Schizosaccharomyces pombe: one gene and its partners. The gene in region 1 interacts genetically with each later gene. Each region holds a gene or a part of one and is shown in the gene's direction. Other genes may lie near its edges. The genes, in order: cox19, gmh2, plb5 and psy2.

Region 1 (3,769 bases):
ACGAATGTTTTGATAACATAAACATTTTTTAAACGATATTTTATTAGTAATTGCACATAATTAAACCAAATTATTTATTAAACCTTGGTTAATAATTTTGTCTGAATAATTTGTTGTTCGGGTTGCAGTCACGGTGCCGCGGCAATTCCGAACGTTGATCGCAGTCCATGATTGCAATCGAAAACATCGTTAACCAACATCACCAATTTTTGTGAGTTCCATTTAACGTTGGATATCAAGCAAGATGTCGCTTACTCCGGATGAAAAATATGAGTTGATTACTCGTAATCTTCAAGAGGTGCTTGGCGCCAAAATGATTCGCGAAATTTTGAATGAACGCGATATCAGCTTGTACTGGGGCAGTGCACCTACTGGCCGTCCTCATTGTGGTTATTTTGTGCCAATGATGAAGTTGGCTGATTTTTTAAAGGCCGGTGTACATGTTACTGTTCTTTTAGCCGATGTCCATGCTTTTTTGGATAACATGAAGGCGCCGATGGAACTCGTTCAACACCGTGTTCGTTATTATGAAATTATTGTCAAATCTATTCTAAAATCGTTGAATATTCCCATTGAGAAGCTTCGTTTTGTCATTGGCTCCAGCTATCAGCTGAAGGAGGATTATACCCTTGATAACTTTCGACTTGCTGCATCTACGACAGAGCACACTGCTCGTCGTGCCGGTGCAGAAGTTGTCAAGCAGGTCGCTAGTCCTCTATTGTCAAGCTTGATCTATCCAGGTATGCAAGCTCTTGATGAACAATACCTTGGTGTTGATGTTCAATTCGGTGGTGTTGACCAACGTAAAATTTTCGTTATGGCTGAAGAGGTGTTACCAGTTTTGGGATACAAGAAGCGTGGCCATTTAATGAACCCTATGGTGCCCAGTCTTGCTGGTGGTAAAATGTCTTCCTCTGCCGCTGCCAACGCCAAAATTGATATCTTAGATGATCCCAAAACTGTAAACAAGAAAATCCGTTCAGCTTTTTGCGAGCCTGGTGTTGTGGAGGAAAATGGTTGTTTGGCTTTCTTGAAATACGTCAGTTTCCCTGCAATGGAACTTCGTGGCGAAACTGAATTTGTCATTGATCGTCCAGAGCAATTTGGTGGAAGAATGGTTTTCAAAACTTATGAAGAGGTTGAAAAGGCATACAAGGACCTGACTCTTTCACCCCAAGATTTGAAGCTTGGTCTTGAGTCATCTGTCAATACTTTGTTGGCTGGTGTCCAAGAGCAGTTGAAGCAATATCCTGACTTGGATAGTATTTTGAAGGCTGCCTATCCTGATCCCAAGGATTTGAAGAAGGCCATGAAACAGAAAAAACAAGATAAAAAGAATGCAAAGAAGGCTGGAACTACTAATGCTTCAATTGCTGCTGAATCCGGTGCTGCCCCAGCAACGGAAAGTCAGACTGCTGAGTCATTCAAAAAATTGAATCTGGATGATTAAACATACTTTTCAAAAGCTTGCTAATGTGAGTCCTGACGTTAGACGATCGTTTTTGATAGCTCCTTTGGTTGTTGAAGAAGTGTTTTATATTTCTGGATATATATTTCATCGTTTGTATACTTCTATCTTTTTCTTTTTACAAAATAAAACCATTGATTTTTGGCTTTCAGTTGTCTCGATTTCCTATGTCTGTAACTTAATATTCATGTATATGTAGATGATAATCGATACTATAGACTTTGATACACTTTGCTCGGGAGATATAGGTGATGAAATATGGTACTTTCAGGTATTCATGGTTATGAAAGGATGCATCATTTAATTATTGTGTTCAAATTCAACTTTCGTATTGAAATTAACTTTGGTTATTGATAATTTTACCATAGCGTAAATTTAGCTTTGCCTTTCAAGTCTATAATTTTACTGTATTTTGTTCGTATTATGAAGTGAGAATACCAAATCCACCAGACTACTTCAATTAGGAAGTACTCAGTCGAAAAATCAACTTTATGTGGTTGTAAACAGTTGAACTTGTGTGCGACGTAGCTTTACATCTTCATCCACCGCCTTAGGTTCGAAGTAAACGACTCATATCCATTGTTCTAACTCATACGTTTCTTAAACTTGGATAAAGATAATTTCATTAACTTGAATAATTTTTTGCATTGAAATAATAAGCATTGACCAGTCTAACGTTTCAAAAATGTCATTCGGAGCAGGTAAGTAATTGTTCGTTCAAAGATGTTTCAGCATTTGAAATCGTTTGGGAAAACAAGTCCTTTTTGCTTCTAAACAAAACGTACTTGCAAAATCACATAAAATCGAATGTTATGAAAAGAACAGTTTCATTGAATAGAATCTATCCATCTATGTTTGCTTATGATTGGCATGCAACTTTTTACTCAGAGCTACTACTGATATAAGAAACTATTTTTAATTCCGTTAATTAAATGGCACAATCTTAAAGAATGAGGAGCTTTGAGTTGTTGAATGCTTGCATTGGTGGAATTGATTTTCTAATTCTTTTTATTCTGCATTTGATGAGTGTCATTTTTCAACTGACAAAGTTAAAGACTTCCCATTCCATATTTCTTAATCCTATATGATATATTGAGCTTTTAAAAAGTTATATGTTAACAATGAATTTCGATAGCTGGTGGATCTCTACCCATGACAACTCGTGAACCTCCGGAACGAGGAAGTTTTCCTTTAGATCATTTTGGTATGTGATGGTCAAAGTATTTTTTTCTGGTAGTTATTTACCTTTTTTACTAATACTTGTCGTGCAGGAGAATGCACTCATGTCATGAAACAGTACTTGGAGTGCATAAAAGTGAAACGAGAGAATCAGGAGGAATGTCGTTTGCTTGCAAAGAAATATCTGCAATGTCGAATGGACACTGGTTTGTTTGGGAAAGATGATATGAAGAATTTAGGTTTTCATGGCGACGAAAATGCAACATCTACTTCTTTAAGCAGCAGCAATGATGGTAATAATAACTCGAATTCCTCTTCTTCTGATAATAAGACAGGAGGTGAGTGATCCTCTACATAAAATTATAAAAAAAAAAAAAAAAAAAAAAAGGAAAAGCAAGTCGTTAAGAATCACTGCTTGAATACTATTTCAACTATGAATAGTCGATCACTTACCAACATCAGAAGGATATTTATTTACTGTTAATTTAACTTGGTAATGACTGTTCTGCATACTCATTAATAAAAGTGTATTGTATTGGAATAAGCAATAATGATATTTATAAATGAATCATTTTTATGGCTGACGCTTAACAGGAAGCGGCTGGTATTTAGTTGATTGGTTTATAATTTTATAATTTTTTTTATACAATCCATAATTTTCTTGTATTTGAAATGATTGCTTTCCTTTAACTCATTGCCTTTTTCACATTGTATCCTTTAACATAGTTTTTAAATGAAGGAGGAATAATCAGATGAAGTGATATAAACCTTTATGATTCCTCAATCAAAAGAAAGAAAAAAAGGGATATTTTAATTCGTCAATGATAAGCTTACTCGTATGTAGAATATTTTTGTATATCTATACTTCTCTTTTCACCTATATTTTAACGTCGATCTTTTGTTTTCGCTAATTTTAAGGTTAAATACAACCGAATCTATTTTTTTTGGCCCCCCTAAACTTACTGATAAATTGATGTTACTTTTCTAAACCGCCCATTATCGGGGGCCTTGAGGTTGCTCTTCAGATATATCGGCTCAAGTGCTATCAGTGCCTTTTGCTTCACCGTTTTTTGATAACTTTTTGCCGAATCATTTCACATGGGCTCAGGGTGTAGGAAATTG
Region 2 (4,652 bases), on another chromosome or scaffold:
CGGTTGAGCAATTTAATTCTTTAATTAATCAATTTGTTGTCACTGGAAAGCCCATTCCTTCAGATATTTTAAAAATTGATACACTGAAGTCTTTTGAAGCATTGATAACGGAATGTCCCATATGTTGTAATGAACCAATTCAAAATCCCTTGTTATTGAACTGCAAGCATGCTTGTTGCGGAGATTGTTTGTCAGAACATATTCAGTATCAAAAAAGAAGAAACATAATTCCTCCGCTTTGTCATACATGTCGTCAACCCTTCAATGAGCAAGATGTCTATAAACCTTTTTTTGTCAAAAATAACGGAACACAGTCTACGCTTTTAGTCGGTGAGGAAGTAAAATGGAAATATTGGAATAGGCTACAATCAGTGAAACTTAATGGCCTTTTAGGACAATTGCGTCAATTAACTCATAGTTCTGAACCTGAAAAGGTCGTTATCTTTTCACAGTTTACCACATTCCTGGATATTATCGCAGACGTTCTCGAGTCAGAGAAGATGGGGTATGCTAGATTCGATGGTACCATGTCACAACAAATGAGGTCGACGGCTTTAGAGACATTTCGAAATGATCCTGATGTTAACGTGCTGATTATCTCTTTAAAGGCAGGCGGGGTTGGTTTAAACCTTACTTGTGCCAACCATGTTTTTATTATGGATCCATGGTGGAGCTGGTCAGTGGAAGCACAGGCCATCGATCGTATTCATCGTTTAGGACAGGAAAAGCCTGTATTTGTGACGAGATATATTGTACGTGATACTGTTGAGGAAAGGATGCTCAAAATACAAGAACGCAAAAATTTTATTACTGGGACCCTGGGCATGTCGGAAGGAAAGCAGCAGGTTCAGTCAATTGAAGACATCAAAATGTTGTTTGAATATTAACAACGGTTTCACCAAGCCGATTAAAAGCTATCGTAAAAAAAAAGTATTTTCATATTATGCATATGAAATGCAATTGCTACCGTGGTCGTTGTCATGACTGTCAAATTCTAAGAGAGTATGTGATAAACAAACTGCGTTACAAGATAAATTATAAACTATCTACACCCCTTGGATTTGTTGATTCACGTCTATCACTAATGAATGCGAAATAGTCGAATTCGGTGCATAAGTAACAAAAGTATTAAGGAACGACAGTTTACCCTGGAGCTATACAATCTAAAGTAGTGAATGTGTAATACTTTATTCCATTTTTTGAACTCATAAATTTCCTTGGATGACTTACTTTTTTGTATTCATGATGTTGTTGCTGAGTATCATGGGCAAGGGAATATAAGTTTTAGCTGCTGCAGTGTAAAGGCTGGCTAATGTTTTGTTCAGTATATTAGAGATAGGTATAATTGTTAACTTTTATTCGATTTTTTTATTATTGTTAACCTTGTTAAATAGTAGTAGCGATTGTGATGGAAATCCGGTCACAGAAAGAAAGCGATGTGTATAATTCAACTATATTGGTCAGCCTCTCTCTTTGTTGAAAAGTCGAAGTAGTTGTTTAATAAGGTCAAGATATTTTGATGAAATCAGTGACACAAAATTAAATCCGAATATTTTAGCTAAGTTTTCATTCCATAAATTTCATTTTTCTAATAGCTACCCGTAGAAAGTTTTATAAGCAAGTAACGTGCCGGTTGCTGGGTTATAAAAATTTAGGCAAGGTTACGGTTGTCTCTACCATCGGCAAAGGAGCCGACGTTAATAAAATATTTAACAAAGCCTTTAAAAAATTAACGATAGCTAGTCAAAGGAAGCTTAACGCGTATTCAGCCTCATTAAGACAATCAGGAAGCTTTTTTTTACCATCAGCATATACCTCTAACCCTTTGATTTATTTTTATATCTCGAGATTTCGTTCGTTATTTTATAGGTCGTTTCGATAAGACCTTAATACAATCTGATTTAGTGGTTGTTTAAGATTTCGGAAAAGCCTTTTTTTCAAAAAAAGTTTTCCAGTTATTGTTTCATTATTTCTAATTGATTTACTGAAGAATTGTTATAACCTAAAGATGGCACTTATGTTATCCAGGATTCCACGTCGTTTTTTTTTCTTATTTTTAACGGTCGGCTTGATTGCTGGCGCGTTTCTATACTCGTTGATATATTTTGTGGACGTTGATTTGGTGTCGAAGGTTAACCAGTTGTATGATCAGCAAATTGCACCCATGCTCTCCGATGCTATTGGCACTCCATCCGTTAATCACTCGTTTGAGTTGGCGCCGTTAGACTCTCATTTGGTGGCCACAAGCACTACATTCCACGAGGCGTCATACGAGTCAGAGCCTCAGCAAAATCCTGCCAGTCAAAATATTGTCTTATTACTAGTTAGTGATGGACACACTTCTTACAATAATGGAGCTAATACGTTTGAAGAAGCTATACAGAACAGAGTTGACTATAGTACCAAACAAAACTACAACTTTGAGTATGTCAATGTTACTGGCCTCCCTATTCCCGCCGTTTGGTCCAAGATGCCCGCCGTCTTACAAACTATGAAGAAATACCCCAAAGCGGAATGGATCTGGTTGTTGGATCAGGATGCAATTATTACTAATACCCATCTTTCCCTTCAAGACTCCTTTTTGAAACCTGAGAACTTGCAAAAGACCTTAATTACTAATACCATCCTCACTAAACGGCCTATAAATGCTAACGGGGATTTGCGTTATACACCAAGTAATTATAGTTTAAAAGATATCGAAAATCTCATGGTCATAATCTCACAGGATCACAATGGATTAAACGCAGGTAGTATCTTGTTCCGTAATTCACCTGCTACTGCCTTGTTTTTGGATATTTGGACAGATCCTGTTGTTGCAGAATGTGCGAAAGCCAATAATGAACAAGACATGCTTGGATATTTGATTTCTAAGCATTCACAACTTGCTTCGCTGGTTGGCCTTATTCCTCAAAGAAAAATAAATGCTTTTCACGAAGGTCCGGAAAATATGGAATGGCAAAAAGGTGATTTGGTAATTCACTTTGCTGGATGTTGGGTTGAAAACCGCTGCGATGAACTATGGCAAAAGTTTTACGCCTTGATTGACTAAGTTGCTTATTCATTATATCCGTCTGTTTAATTTGTTTGTGTTTTAAAAAATTTTATATATATAAACAAAGCGCCGTATAATTTTCCGTCAATCTTCCTTTCTTTATCTGAATCTCTAATAATGTTTACTATTTTTTAATCTTTACATACCTAATTAATATAGCGGTTGTGCCATAGCAATCAAAGTTTCAGGTTAGTTTTTTATAGCGAGATATCTGGGAGTTTTGTTTTACACAATCGTCCATCAATAATTGTTATATATTGTATATATTTCACATTGACTTTGAAGCTGTTTCTGTTGGTTCAACTAATTTGCTTTGGCAATTTACCAATGCAATATTGAAGATTGGAATAACAGTTTGGCGTTAATAAATCTTTTTAATAATTTGCATTTCACCGCAGCTGCCATTTTCTGTTAAATGCTGATAGAAGTTTTATTGAATCATTCGTGTCGGATTATACTAAGTTTTTATTTATCTTGTTTTTTGGCCCTACAAAGTATTGGTATGTCCTTATTTTATATTGATTACACTGGCTTTTGGCCTTATAAAGATATAGATTAGTTGCTAAGTCTAAAAGATGTATTTTTTAACGGTGGTTCCATTACGTCTGTGCACCCACTGTTTACACTTGTGTCTTTACAAACCTAGAAGCATTTTCCGATTAATGAGGTCTATCAGGTCAAGGAGAAAGAATATTTGAATAGATTTATCGACAAAATATATTTCGTTAAATTTACACAATATTTACTTTACCAATAAGCTAAATGGTATTTCCAATACTTTTCCAGCTAACAGTCAGATTTTTCACTGTTTGAAACAACTTCACCAAATTAATTCATTAGTGTCAATTTCTATTACATGCTTAAGCTCATAATTTTCAACATCCAGATAGCTCGAAAGTTGACACCATTACACACAAACTAAGATGATTGTGAAAAAACAAAGCGTTAGGATTTGTAAAAGGCAATTCCACAATTTGAATTACAATACTGTAACTGAATATAGCGCGGCACATGGTACAAACAACGTGCTGGTAATAAATTGACAAATGCAGAGCAACCCGCGTGATGAAACATAAATCTCGGATATTTTTTCTTTAAAGGGTTGTTAACGCAAGTCGTTTAAGGGTAAAAGAAATAAATAAATTTTAGAGGGTAACATCCTCATAAAGGGAGTCATCTTTAGAGCCTTTTTTCATTTTTTTAAGGCTTTCGAAAATTTCACGTGTCTCAAATTCTATTGTTTCAGCGGTTCGTTGAATTAATCTCTTATCATGTCTCGAATTTCACTTTCAAATTTTTTATCTCTTCCGCGTTACAAATTCCTGTTGTTTTCTGTGGTTTTGATTATTGTGATGACAACCTTAGTGTTTAACGGACACGATTATAAGCAAACCCTTAATGACCGGCTTACTTCATTAAAAAACAACTTTGTTGAGGAAAATGATAATGCCGTCTTAAAAGAAGAGCCTGGCAAATATACGTATATGAGTTTGTTTACTATGCCTTCTACTGAAGAGGATTACTACTTCAACGCTACTAGGGTTTTAATTCACCGATTGAAATATCATCCTACTACCAAAAGTAAATACCCTATCCATAT
Region 3 (4,813 bases), 1.2 Mb from region 1:
TTGCTTAACTTGTATTGCGAAACTTACTATAATACAGTATTCGTTGACCTTAATACCTCAACTGCCTTTGCTACGCTAAGGATTCATCACATACCGATGACACTTCAGTAGTTCTTTAAATTTATTTAAGACGTACAAGCCAGTGCATAATCTAGGTTTACAAAACTCTTTGTTATAGCTCCTTAGACACGGGAACTAAGCAAAGGAGGTATACAGTCTGGATACACGGGAACTCTTAAACAAAGTGTAAAATAATGTATCTCTTAATAACTCTGTCGAAATGGTTATATATCACATTGTGAGCTTGTTACAATACCTTATAGCTTTGCATTTAGTTCAGTGCAGTTTCTTATGTTTGTGTTTTGGGTTTGTAAAGTATGATAAAACGAGAGAGATATTTTGACAAACTGATGAAATTCAAGATCTACTGTATCAGCTTATAACTGGAATAGAAAGAAAGAATATAAAGGCTACAATGTAGCCATGTGCGGTCAACGTTTAGACTGCCGATCTTATGACCTAACTAAAGCGATCGCTATTCAGATCCATTTCTGCTTGTAGGGATGAGACTTTGTAGAATAGCAAATCTGTAAATTAACAAATCTTCAAATTTTGTTGCATCAAGCAATAACTTCTACTCTATCTGTTTCTATCAATGGTTTTTCATATCTCGAATTGAAATATTTCCAATGTGAATCAACTAAAAACATCGCACCCCATTACCTTATTGAATATTCGAATTTGGGGATTTCCTAGAAGAGTTGGACATTAAATGACGTTAATAGAAGTAAAAAAAAAATAGAAAGTCGTTTCATCATGGACTTGTCGATGATTTGCATTACCAGACAATTTTACATCCGTGAGTTCGCAGCAATCGGGTTGGTATCCGTTTATAAATTTAGCCGTTGATATTCATCCCGTCATTTAAAGCTGAGCCTAGGTTGATCTAAATATTCCATTATAGAATCGCTGAAATATTTATTGAATAGGGCATAAATGGTACCCATGAATGCTAATGATAACTAGGCAATCCAACTCCAACTGGCATCTAAAGACTTAGTAATATGACCACCATTTCATAATCTCACGGTGCTACATATAGAAAATCGTTAACATCATAGATGGCATCTTCGGAGTTCCTTCTAGTCCACGCCGAATTGCGGATCAAGGTAAGCAGATCATGAGAAACGTGGGTCATGCGAAAAGTGAGTCTACAAGTGAGTTCATCCTCAAAAGCCTATATATATTATATATATAGCACTTGGGAATAAATGAATAAAGGTTGCAACTTTAGTGATTGAATCGGTAAATCCCGTTAAAACAAACAATCAGTGATTCATCCTTCTTTAGTGTGATCTGTGTAGGTAAGCAAGCAATTTACAAATGCCTAGAAAGTTGGCAAGGCCGGTTTGTGTTTGGCAAGGAAATGAGCAAAAACGTCTGTCTATTCCTAAAACGGACGGTGGGTAAGCAAAATCCCAACTTGAAAATTTGAATTGGGATTTTTTTATTTCAATGGAAAAAGATAGGTTAAATCATAAAAAAGAACATGATATTATTTTCTTGGAAATATGTCGAAATCCTGTCTCATCCCAACCTTTTCGACAAAACTAGGTGTCCTGATGGAAATATAGTTTAAGCTCATCGCTTGCCGAACCGCTCCATCAAATGCTTAATTTGCTTTTATTGACATTGTAGCTCGACGGACTCTCTAGATATCTAAATATTTTTCGTTGAACTTACTAGATTGGGAATTGACAATTGAAAGCTCTTTAATTGATTACTTTCATTGTCTTGATTTTTTTCATTCTCAGAAAATTTCAAAAAATTCAGACTTTAGAAACTCGCTGTTTGTTAATCACTCTCTTGCTTTTTTTGGATTCAGAGAAAATTGAAAAATTCGAACTTTTTTTAAAAACGAATCATTGACCGTATTCTATCCTTTTATCCTTTATTAAACCAACCTTGCTTTTTTAATTTTTATTTTATTTTTTTTTAAACATGAAATTATCTTCCTTTGGATTATTTCTCGCTCTCCAGCTTTTGCCGGCCTTGGGCCTTCCTTCTCGTATCGATGAAGTAGACGTTTCAGACCCAGAACTAATCGGATTATTGAAACCCGATAACGTTGATAAGCCAGCAAACTCTATACCCCTTTCCAAGCGTAGCACAAGCCCATCGTATGCGCCTTATACTGTTGCTTGCCCTAGTGGCTCTCTGCTTCGACCTGCCTCCGATGGCCTTAGTACTGGTGAACAAGAATTTGTTGACAAACGTGTCTCAAAGGTTAACAGTGCATTGGAAAGCTTTATTTCAAAAACCGGCTTAAAAATCGATACAAAAAGTGTGCTGAATGACACAGATGGCCCTCGTTTGGGAATTGCAATCTCTGGCGGTGGATTTCCTGCCATGTTAACGGGAGCCGGCGCTATTAATGCATTTGATGCTAGAAATGGTAACACTACGTCTCTTGGTGGTATTCTTCAATCTTCCATGTACCTTACTGGTCTTTCTGGTGGCTCTTGGCTTGTGGGATCTGTTGCGGTTAACAACTTTGCCAATATTACTTTCTTGCACGACGACGTTTGGAACCTGGACCACAGTCTCTTCGCTCCCTATGACGACGCTTTTGAGAACTTTTATATTTACCAAGAGTGGTTTGAGCAAGTTCTGCAAAAGAAGAATGCTGGATTCAATGTCTCCATTACTGACCTTTGGGGCCGTGCTTTGGCTCTTAAGCTTGTCAATCCTTTGACTGGAGGTGCTAATACTACATTCTCTAGTGTAACAAATGAAACGTGGTTCCAGGATGGTGAATTTCCCTTTCCCATCATCATTGCTGATAATGTCATAGAGGGTGAAACCGTAATCCCTTTGAACGACACTGTCTTTGAATTTACACCCATCGAATTTGGTACTTGGGACACTGGGGTGGAATCATTTATACCCATGGAGTATACAGGTACACACCTTATTAATGGCATTCCTCTTAATGAATCCTGTGTGCGTAATTTCGACAACGCTGGTTTCCTCATGGGTACCTCTTCAAATGTTTTTAGCGGTATCCTTCCTGCGACAAATGCATCACTCACCGCTAGTAATAATACCTTTAACAATGCTGTCCTTAGTTTCCTCGAAATGCTTGCCGAAGATCAATTGGATGTAGGTCTTTATCCCAACCCTTACCAAGGTTATGGAAATGCTTCCAATACAACCACTACCAATCCCTTGGAGCCGTATCCCATTATTGAATTAATAGACGGTGGCTCAGATAGTGAAGGTATTCCCTTTTGGCCCTTGCTTCATCCACAAAGAGACGTAGATGTTATTTTTGCGATTGACGGGGGTTATCAAAGCGCAACGAGTGGATGGCCAGATGGATCGTCCCTAGTTTCTACATATGAAAGAGTTTTAGCCACTAACTCCTCTGGCGTTCGTGGTTTCCCATATATTCCTGATACCAACACATTTTTGGCTCTTGGTTTGAACACTCATCCAACTTTCTTCGGTTGCGACGGTAGAAACACCACAGCCGGAAACCATACCGTTAATGACGATACTCCTCCTCTTGTAGTTTACTTCCCCAACTATCCTTGGACTATGTATGCAAATGTCACTACCTACACTGTTCAACTGGAAGATACTTTGTCCAGTGGAATGATTGAAAATGCCGCTGTTGCTGCTACCCAAAATAACAGTGATTCATTTGCTGTCTGCGTTGCATGCGCTCTCGTTCAACGTTCCTTGGAACGCAAAAACATGTCGACTCCAAGTCAATGTGCTTCTTGCTTTAATCAATACTGTTGGAATGGAACAATTGCAAGCACGACCGTTACTACATATGCACCTACAGTTCTGTCAGCCAAGATTTAGTATGCAACGCTCACGACAATCCATTTTGTTCGATCTTTTCCATGGTAGCATAGAGCGTAAAGCATTGAAACACTAATGTTCATATATTCACTAATCTAAGAACCAGCAAAAGTCGGCTCTTTACTTATTGCTCATAAACAACGAGAAGGAAGATATAGTGAATAAATATAGGAATGAAAAAAGCTTCAAGAAGCCATTAACACCATCGAATTTGAATTCCTAAGCTCTAAATGACACTAATTTATGTAACCTTTGCAGAAATGTTTCAACTCAAATACTGTGTCAGCAGTAGTCCAGCACGCTACGATATACTACGTTGCGTAGCACTATATGTCATGCTAAAATATACATAACATTAGTTTATTGATGATTGTAGCTGTTTGTCCATCTATCTACACAAGTTACACATTGGTAGCAACTAGAGAAAAATATAAATAGAGCTACCACTGAACCTCATTCCTCAGTTCAGTTATTGGCTATATCGGTGACCGATACTACTAGACTTTTTATAACAATAAATATAATATTATTAGTTAACAAAGCGCATACCGCTATGTTGTAAATCCCTAGAAATCTCGCCGCAGTGCTATATATCGTTAAACCAGATACCAAACTGCGTAGCTGACATTATAATTATACTACAACGTTTGCTTCTCAAAAACGTTTTAAGGAAAGCTAAGTTAGGGTAAATAAAAAGGGCAGTGACAAAATAAATGTGTCAGAAGCAATTGCATTTTGAAAATGAGTTTTCGAATTTTAACTTTTACCTACTATTATTAAAGAGAGAAGTCTTCTTTGAAAGAAATTGCTCGTTTTTTATGTTGAACGGCTGAAATTGGGCTCCAGAGTGAAAATTCTTGATTTCGCTGTTTCGTTTGTCGCAATTATAGCAATTAATTCGCGCATGTATTTTATTAAATAAAGAATGATCTTGAAAAAA
Region 4 (5,508 bases), on another chromosome or scaffold:
ATCTTTTATTGAAATTTGAGAGGTGAGAGATTGAAAGAATGACTGAATAAGATGATTCAGAGAAAGTGGGTACAAGCAAGAAAGCTGAAAAAGGCCCAAGTTACTTTTCAGCGCCTTTTGTAGTTGCTGATAAGACAAAAGGAAGCAAATAAACTCATCATCTCTGTCGGTTTCATCTTCGATGTCTATAGAGTTTTCTGGTGATACTGCCTTGTTCAGAGACCTGATTGATTTCTTTATGTCAGCTTTTGTGTTTTCAATTATTTCCGATGATAAATTTGGAGACGGTGTTTTAGTATCGTCAGCTACCAAATGATTTACACTCACTAACTCCTGTTTTGCTAAATTGATGGATTTGAGAACGGCCGATGATTGAGATACCGAAGTTTGTACATTGGATTCCAACGACAAAAAAGGATCTATTGGAAAATCGTGTTTCTCTTCTTGCTCCGCATCAAAAGATGAACTATCAAAATACTTATCCGAGGAAGACTCCAAAAATACAGAATCGTCGTTTTCATCCTCAGTTACCAAAGTATTTTTAGAATCTTCACTTTCATCTATAGTTTCGCCTTTTTCGGCATTCAGTTGAAGCTCGTGAAGGCAAATTCTTAAATTTGTTAATTCCAATGTCAGTTTGTTCTTCTCATCGTTAAGTGAAACGGTCAAAGACTCTACTTCTGTCAATTTTTTCATTAATCCTTGTAGTCTTTGTTCAAGCAAATCCCTTTGTCCTTGCACCTTAGTCTTCTCTTTCATAAGTGTTTTCATGTTTGAAGAAAGTAGATCAAGTTGCTTGATTAAATGGGCATTATCCACTGACAACTTTTTATGCAAATCTTCTTTCTCTGACAGTTGCAGCCTTAAATACCGCAACTGTTGCAGAAGGTTTAAGCCAATGTTAGTAGCATATTGTAGATTGGTTTCAGTAACTGAATATTGATCTACTTGAGAAGACTCACTGAAGCAATTTGTGTTCTTCCTTCTTTCAATTGCAATGTCTTGACGTTGAATAGTAAGCATCTCCGTAATTCTCACCTCCTCCTCCGCTAAATTTTTTTCCAAGTCGCGTAATTTATATCGATTATCAAATTTGTTATTAAAATATGTTTTATTTTCCTTTTGAACCACTTGGTCTTTAATTTCTTGTTCGATTTTTCGTGTTTCACAAAGAATGCTTTCCTCTAACGCTTTCGCATAAGCAAGCTTTATTTTTGCACTTTCATTTCTATTTTTTAAATCAATTGAATATAATTCCACCTCGTTATCTTGTTTTTTCTCCATGAAGGATCAGTATATGTTTTGGTAAGCTCAACTCTCTTTGTCTTTTATATATCGATAAACTCGTAAGCATGCATATCGCAACAGTCATCGTCTTGAATACATAATTTTTATTTCTGGAATTATATCAATTCAATTCGTGTTCTCATTTGGCAAATTTCTCGTATTACGCTTTAACAATAAAACTTAGTAAAAGCAAAAAAACTGTATTTATATTGATGCATTTGCTAGAGTACTTGAATATCTAGCGAAGCTTTAGCAGCTTTCAATATATATATCGGTATAAATACCATTAGTTTGTACTTAAAAATTAACTATTACTTTACAAATGTACCCTGAGCCTCATGATTGACTTGCAAAAAATTGATTTGACGAGGCTACACATGTGTTTAGACAATAATTAACTTTATTTATATTCATATTTAGTTTATTTACTATTTCGAAAAGATTTAAATGCTAATTGTAGACAGTATAAAACGTTTAAAACACAACTCGATATAAGGATTGATTACAGCATATACACCGAGCGGTGAAGTACTCATCGTTAAAATGCATAACGTCCGTTAATGATATTGTTGTAAACAGATACCGAATTACAATGAAAAATAGTGACTGAAAGCACCACGATCACGTATATAATAGTTATTTGACTCTATAAAGAACATAATTCTGCCATAACACTTCAAAATTATGCACGTGAAATATACATAGTACACTGCTTAACAAATCTATTTGTTATATTTTAGGCAAACCAAATAATTAAGTAAAGCGGCATTGCCATTTAATGAGAAATACATTTATTAATAATTACAATCTTGGTGCAATCTACGGTATTGCATTCATTCACCACCACGTTTGAATTTCGTCTTCACTTTTGAAAATTTGGTGACGAACGCCAACGTCGTAAATTCGAAGCTGACGTCTACCCTTAATCCGCCGTAGAAATGGATTCTACGAAGGAAGAGGAAGATTTAAATAATAATATTGATGAAATTTCAGATGGAGAAAATGAAGAAGAGGAATTAGACGAAGCAATTGCAGCTGCATTGCAGAAGATCGAAGTGCCATCGATTCCCAGACGTGTAAAAGTGTACGAAATGGAAGATGAAAACTGGGTAGACTGTGGCACCGGTTATTGCGATGGAAAAATAGAGGGACCGTTGGCTTATTTCATTGTGCGTTCAGAAGCTGATAATGAAACCATCCTTTTGAAAACACAATTGATTGCGGAAGATATATACAGCCGTCAAGAAGAAACTCTCATAGTCTGGCAAGAATTGAATGGTACTGATCTTGCTTTAAGCTTTCAAGAATCTAGCGGTTGTATAGACATGTGGATGTTTTTAGCAAATGTTCAAAAGGCAATATCATCGGTAACTAGAAGTTACTCCAACGATGATATATTGACGGATGAGGGGGCGCTTAATGAAAACTACCTAAACACGGTCGATCTTCCAGCCCCAGAGCTTGCTAATTTAAAAGAAATTGAAGAAGCAGTATATGGATATATGCAGTCTATTCAATCAAGAGATAGTTTGGTTCGTTATGTTTCAAATGAAAATTATATTGATAGACTTATTGAACTTTTTCCTCTGTGTGAGGATCTAGAGAATACAGATGACCTTCATCGATTGTGTTCCATAATAAAAAGCTTTGGTATGTTAATCTACTTTATACTTTTTAGATTCGTTAAATCCTTGCTAATCGCTGTCAGTGCAATTGAACGACGCCCCTTTACTCGAATCGTTGTTCTCTAATGATGAAAAGCTAATGTGTGTAGCTGGTATTCTCGAATACGATCCGGAATTCCCCAATATCAAAGCGAACCATCGGGAATATTTAATGGATTCCAAAAAGTTTAAGCAGGTGGTTCCCATTCAGGATCCACGGATTCTTGCAAAAATTCACCAGACATTTAAGCTTCAGTATCTAAGGGATGTTGTCGTTTCAAGGATTGTTGACGAACCCTCCTTTTCGGTGCTAAATTCATTTATCTTCTTTAACCAGGCTGATATTATTCAATACCTTCAAACAAATGAAAAATTTTTACATGAACTGTTTAGCATTTATGTGAATGAAGGCGAGGATGATCAACGCAAGCAAGACGGTATATTCTTTATTCAGCAGGTTTGCAACATCGCTAAAGGGCTACAATTCCAGTCCTGCTCTGCATTATTTGCTACTTTCGTTAAATTTAATCTTCTGAAAGCTTTGGATTATGCAATGTCACATGAGAACAATTCCGTTCGAAATGCTGGTTCCGATATTTTGGTGTCTATTATTGATCATGAACCTGCCATCGTTTGGCAAAAGTTTGATCAAGATCGCAAGGACGCTTCTTCTTCATTGAGCAATGCTCACGTTTCCCAACATTCGTTGCTTTCCAATTTAATTAACATTTTGCATAAAGAATCAAATCCTGGAGTACTTGCTCAAATTTCTGAAGCTTTTAAAATGCTACTAAGTTTACCTGGTAGCTATGCATACAATAATCCTTACAGAAATGCTGATGGAAATGTTCGAAATAAAACCGATAACATTATTGGAATTAATTTTATTGAAAATTTTTATGATAACTCTTTTAATATGCTTGCTGCTCCTTTATTGGAGCTGGAAAATGTATCGAGTTTAGATGTTAAAAAGCTTGATATGTATATGCATTTGTGTGAGCTTTTTTGTTATTTTTTTCGTATACACGATTATTGGTCTCGTCGTTTTGATACATATAAAACCCTTACATCAAAAGTGGCTCTATTACTATACAGCGATAGAAAATATGTTGTTTTGAGCGCCCTTAGATTTATTCGCTCTTGTTTGGCCGCTCGTCAGTCAGAAATGTCCTTGATCATGTTAGAAACTGACACATACGGAAAAGTTCTGGACTTGATGTTAAAGGTCAAAGACCAAACTAATTTAGTCAACTCAGCTGCTTTAGAGTTTTTTGAATTTTTAAGATCCGAGGGATCTGAAGATACACTGGATTATCTCAATAAAAACTATCGACCACAGCTGGAATCTTTAAATAATCTCAGTACTTTTTCTGAGCTTTTAAATATAATAGATGGCTTAAGCTCTGACTCAAGAAGCCCTAAAACTGTTGGGACTCATGAATCAAATAGTTATGAATTTGACGGTGCCTCCAATAATAACCAACGTGTTGGAGACGACGTATCCAAAGATTGGGAAATACAGCAAGATTTTTCTATTGAAAACGATACTGAATTATCAGAAAAAGTTGGACAACGTACTGTTCTTGATTCTATAGCCCCTGCTGAGCTAAATATTGAAGACAGTTGCGAGCAGCCAAAGCAACCTATATTAGAGGATCGTTATTTCCTTGAGTCTGCAGTTTATGATACCTCTGCAGAATCTTCAGGTATTAATGTTTCAAACACCCGTTATTCTAAAAGGAAATCGGATTTCCAAGTTGATGATCAGCAAGCTGATGATGAATCACCAAAAAAGAGACTCTCTATCGATTCAAGTTCTGCCCAGAATGGCTACGCTTCCTAGAAGATGAACATAAAAAGGGAAGCTCCAAAAACTCTAGAAGATTGTAATGCAAGTGAATCATCATATGGACATCGTATTTTTGTTCCCGGGTTTATCATTGTTTTGAAAACTCATCTGTATAATATAAACGATTTGGGTTGTTCATTAAGGGACTTTTAAAATAATAAATACCAATTTTCATGTTACTATCGTGGTCTTGTAGTCTCGGGATAATTGTTTACTTAACGCTGACGAATAATTGTACTTAGTAGGCTTAAAAATTAAAAAAAAGTATTTTATATTAAAACGGCAATTTATAACTCTTGAAAAACAGAGGGATTTATATAATAAACAAAAAGAGTGTGAAGTCATTACAAACTTGAACCCAACTCTATCTAAAACTATTTCTTTAAAAACAACGACGTACCAAACAAGGCAAAAACCAAATAGCTATCAGTGATTGCCAAGACAATCATAATCAACCAATTCATAAATCAAAAATAATTTAATTTTAATGAACTGATTCTGCAAACTTAGGATGACATTTCGCTAAGGATATAAGGGATAATTACTAGCGAAGCTTGTAAGAAAATCAATAAGGATTCGATGATACGGACGGGCATAAGCAAAGCAGGACCAGACAAGACATATTGGTAAATACCATAGAGACAGACGGCATAGAAGTGGCCGATAAGATGAGAAGGGCTATGGTCTAAACCGCCTAATAAACGAATG

The links.
Region 2: mutations in cox19 (region 1) and gmh2 together harm fitness more than expected from each alone (negative genetic interaction), as found in Schizosaccharomyces pombe (one large-scale study listed by BioGRID).
Region 3: mutations in cox19 (region 1) and plb5 together harm fitness more than expected from each alone (negative genetic interaction), as found in Schizosaccharomyces pombe (one large-scale study listed by BioGRID).
Region 4: mutations in cox19 (region 1) and psy2 together harm fitness more than expected from each alone (negative genetic interaction), as found in Schizosaccharomyces pombe (one large-scale study listed by BioGRID).

The regions. Positions count from the first base shown.
Region 1 is NC_003421.2:567,924-571,692, reverse strand, and holds cox19 (Cu chaperone), read left to right. Parts: upstream 1-2,000; 5' UTR 2,001-2,153; coding exon 2,154-2,169; intron 2,170-2,603; coding exon 2,604-2,672; intron 2,673-2,739; coding exon 2,740-2,993; 3' UTR 2,994-3,231; downstream 3,232-3,769. Other genes in the region: tyrosine--tRNA (Tyr) ligase Yrs1, read left to right, coding at 245-1,450. UniProt on the Schizosaccharomyces pombe protein: Required for the assembly of mitochondrial cytochrome c oxidase.
Region 2 is NC_003424.3:167,207-171,858, reverse strand, and holds gmh2 (alpha-1,2-galactosyltransferase Gmh2), read left to right. Parts: upstream 1-1,803; 5' UTR 1,804-2,008; coding exon 2,009-3,049; 3' UTR 3,050-4,093; downstream 4,094-4,652. Other genes in the region: ATP-dependent chromatin remodeller/ubiquitin-protein ligase E3 Rad8, read left to right, coding at 1-887; alpha-1,3-galactosyltransferase Otg1, read left to right, coding at 4,324-4,652.
Region 3 is NC_003421.2:1,740,648-1,745,460, reverse strand, and holds plb5 (phospholipase Plb5), read left to right. Parts: upstream 1-2,001; coding exon 2,002-3,873; 3' UTR 3,874-4,259; downstream 4,260-4,813. Other genes in the region: wtf antidote-like meiotic drive suppressor Wtf16, read left to right, coding at 4,813-4,813.
Region 4 is NC_003423.3:893,851-899,358, reverse strand, and holds psy2 (serine/threonine protein phosphatase PP4 regulatory subunit 3 Psy2), read left to right. Parts: upstream 1-1,944; 5' UTR 1,945-2,225; coding exon 2,226-2,937; intron 2,938-2,995; coding exon 2,996-4,794; 3' UTR 4,795-4,987; downstream 4,988-5,508. Other genes in the region: dynein-anchoring factor Num1, read right to left, coding at 1-1,284; squalene monooxygenase Erg1, read right to left, coding at 5,307-5,508.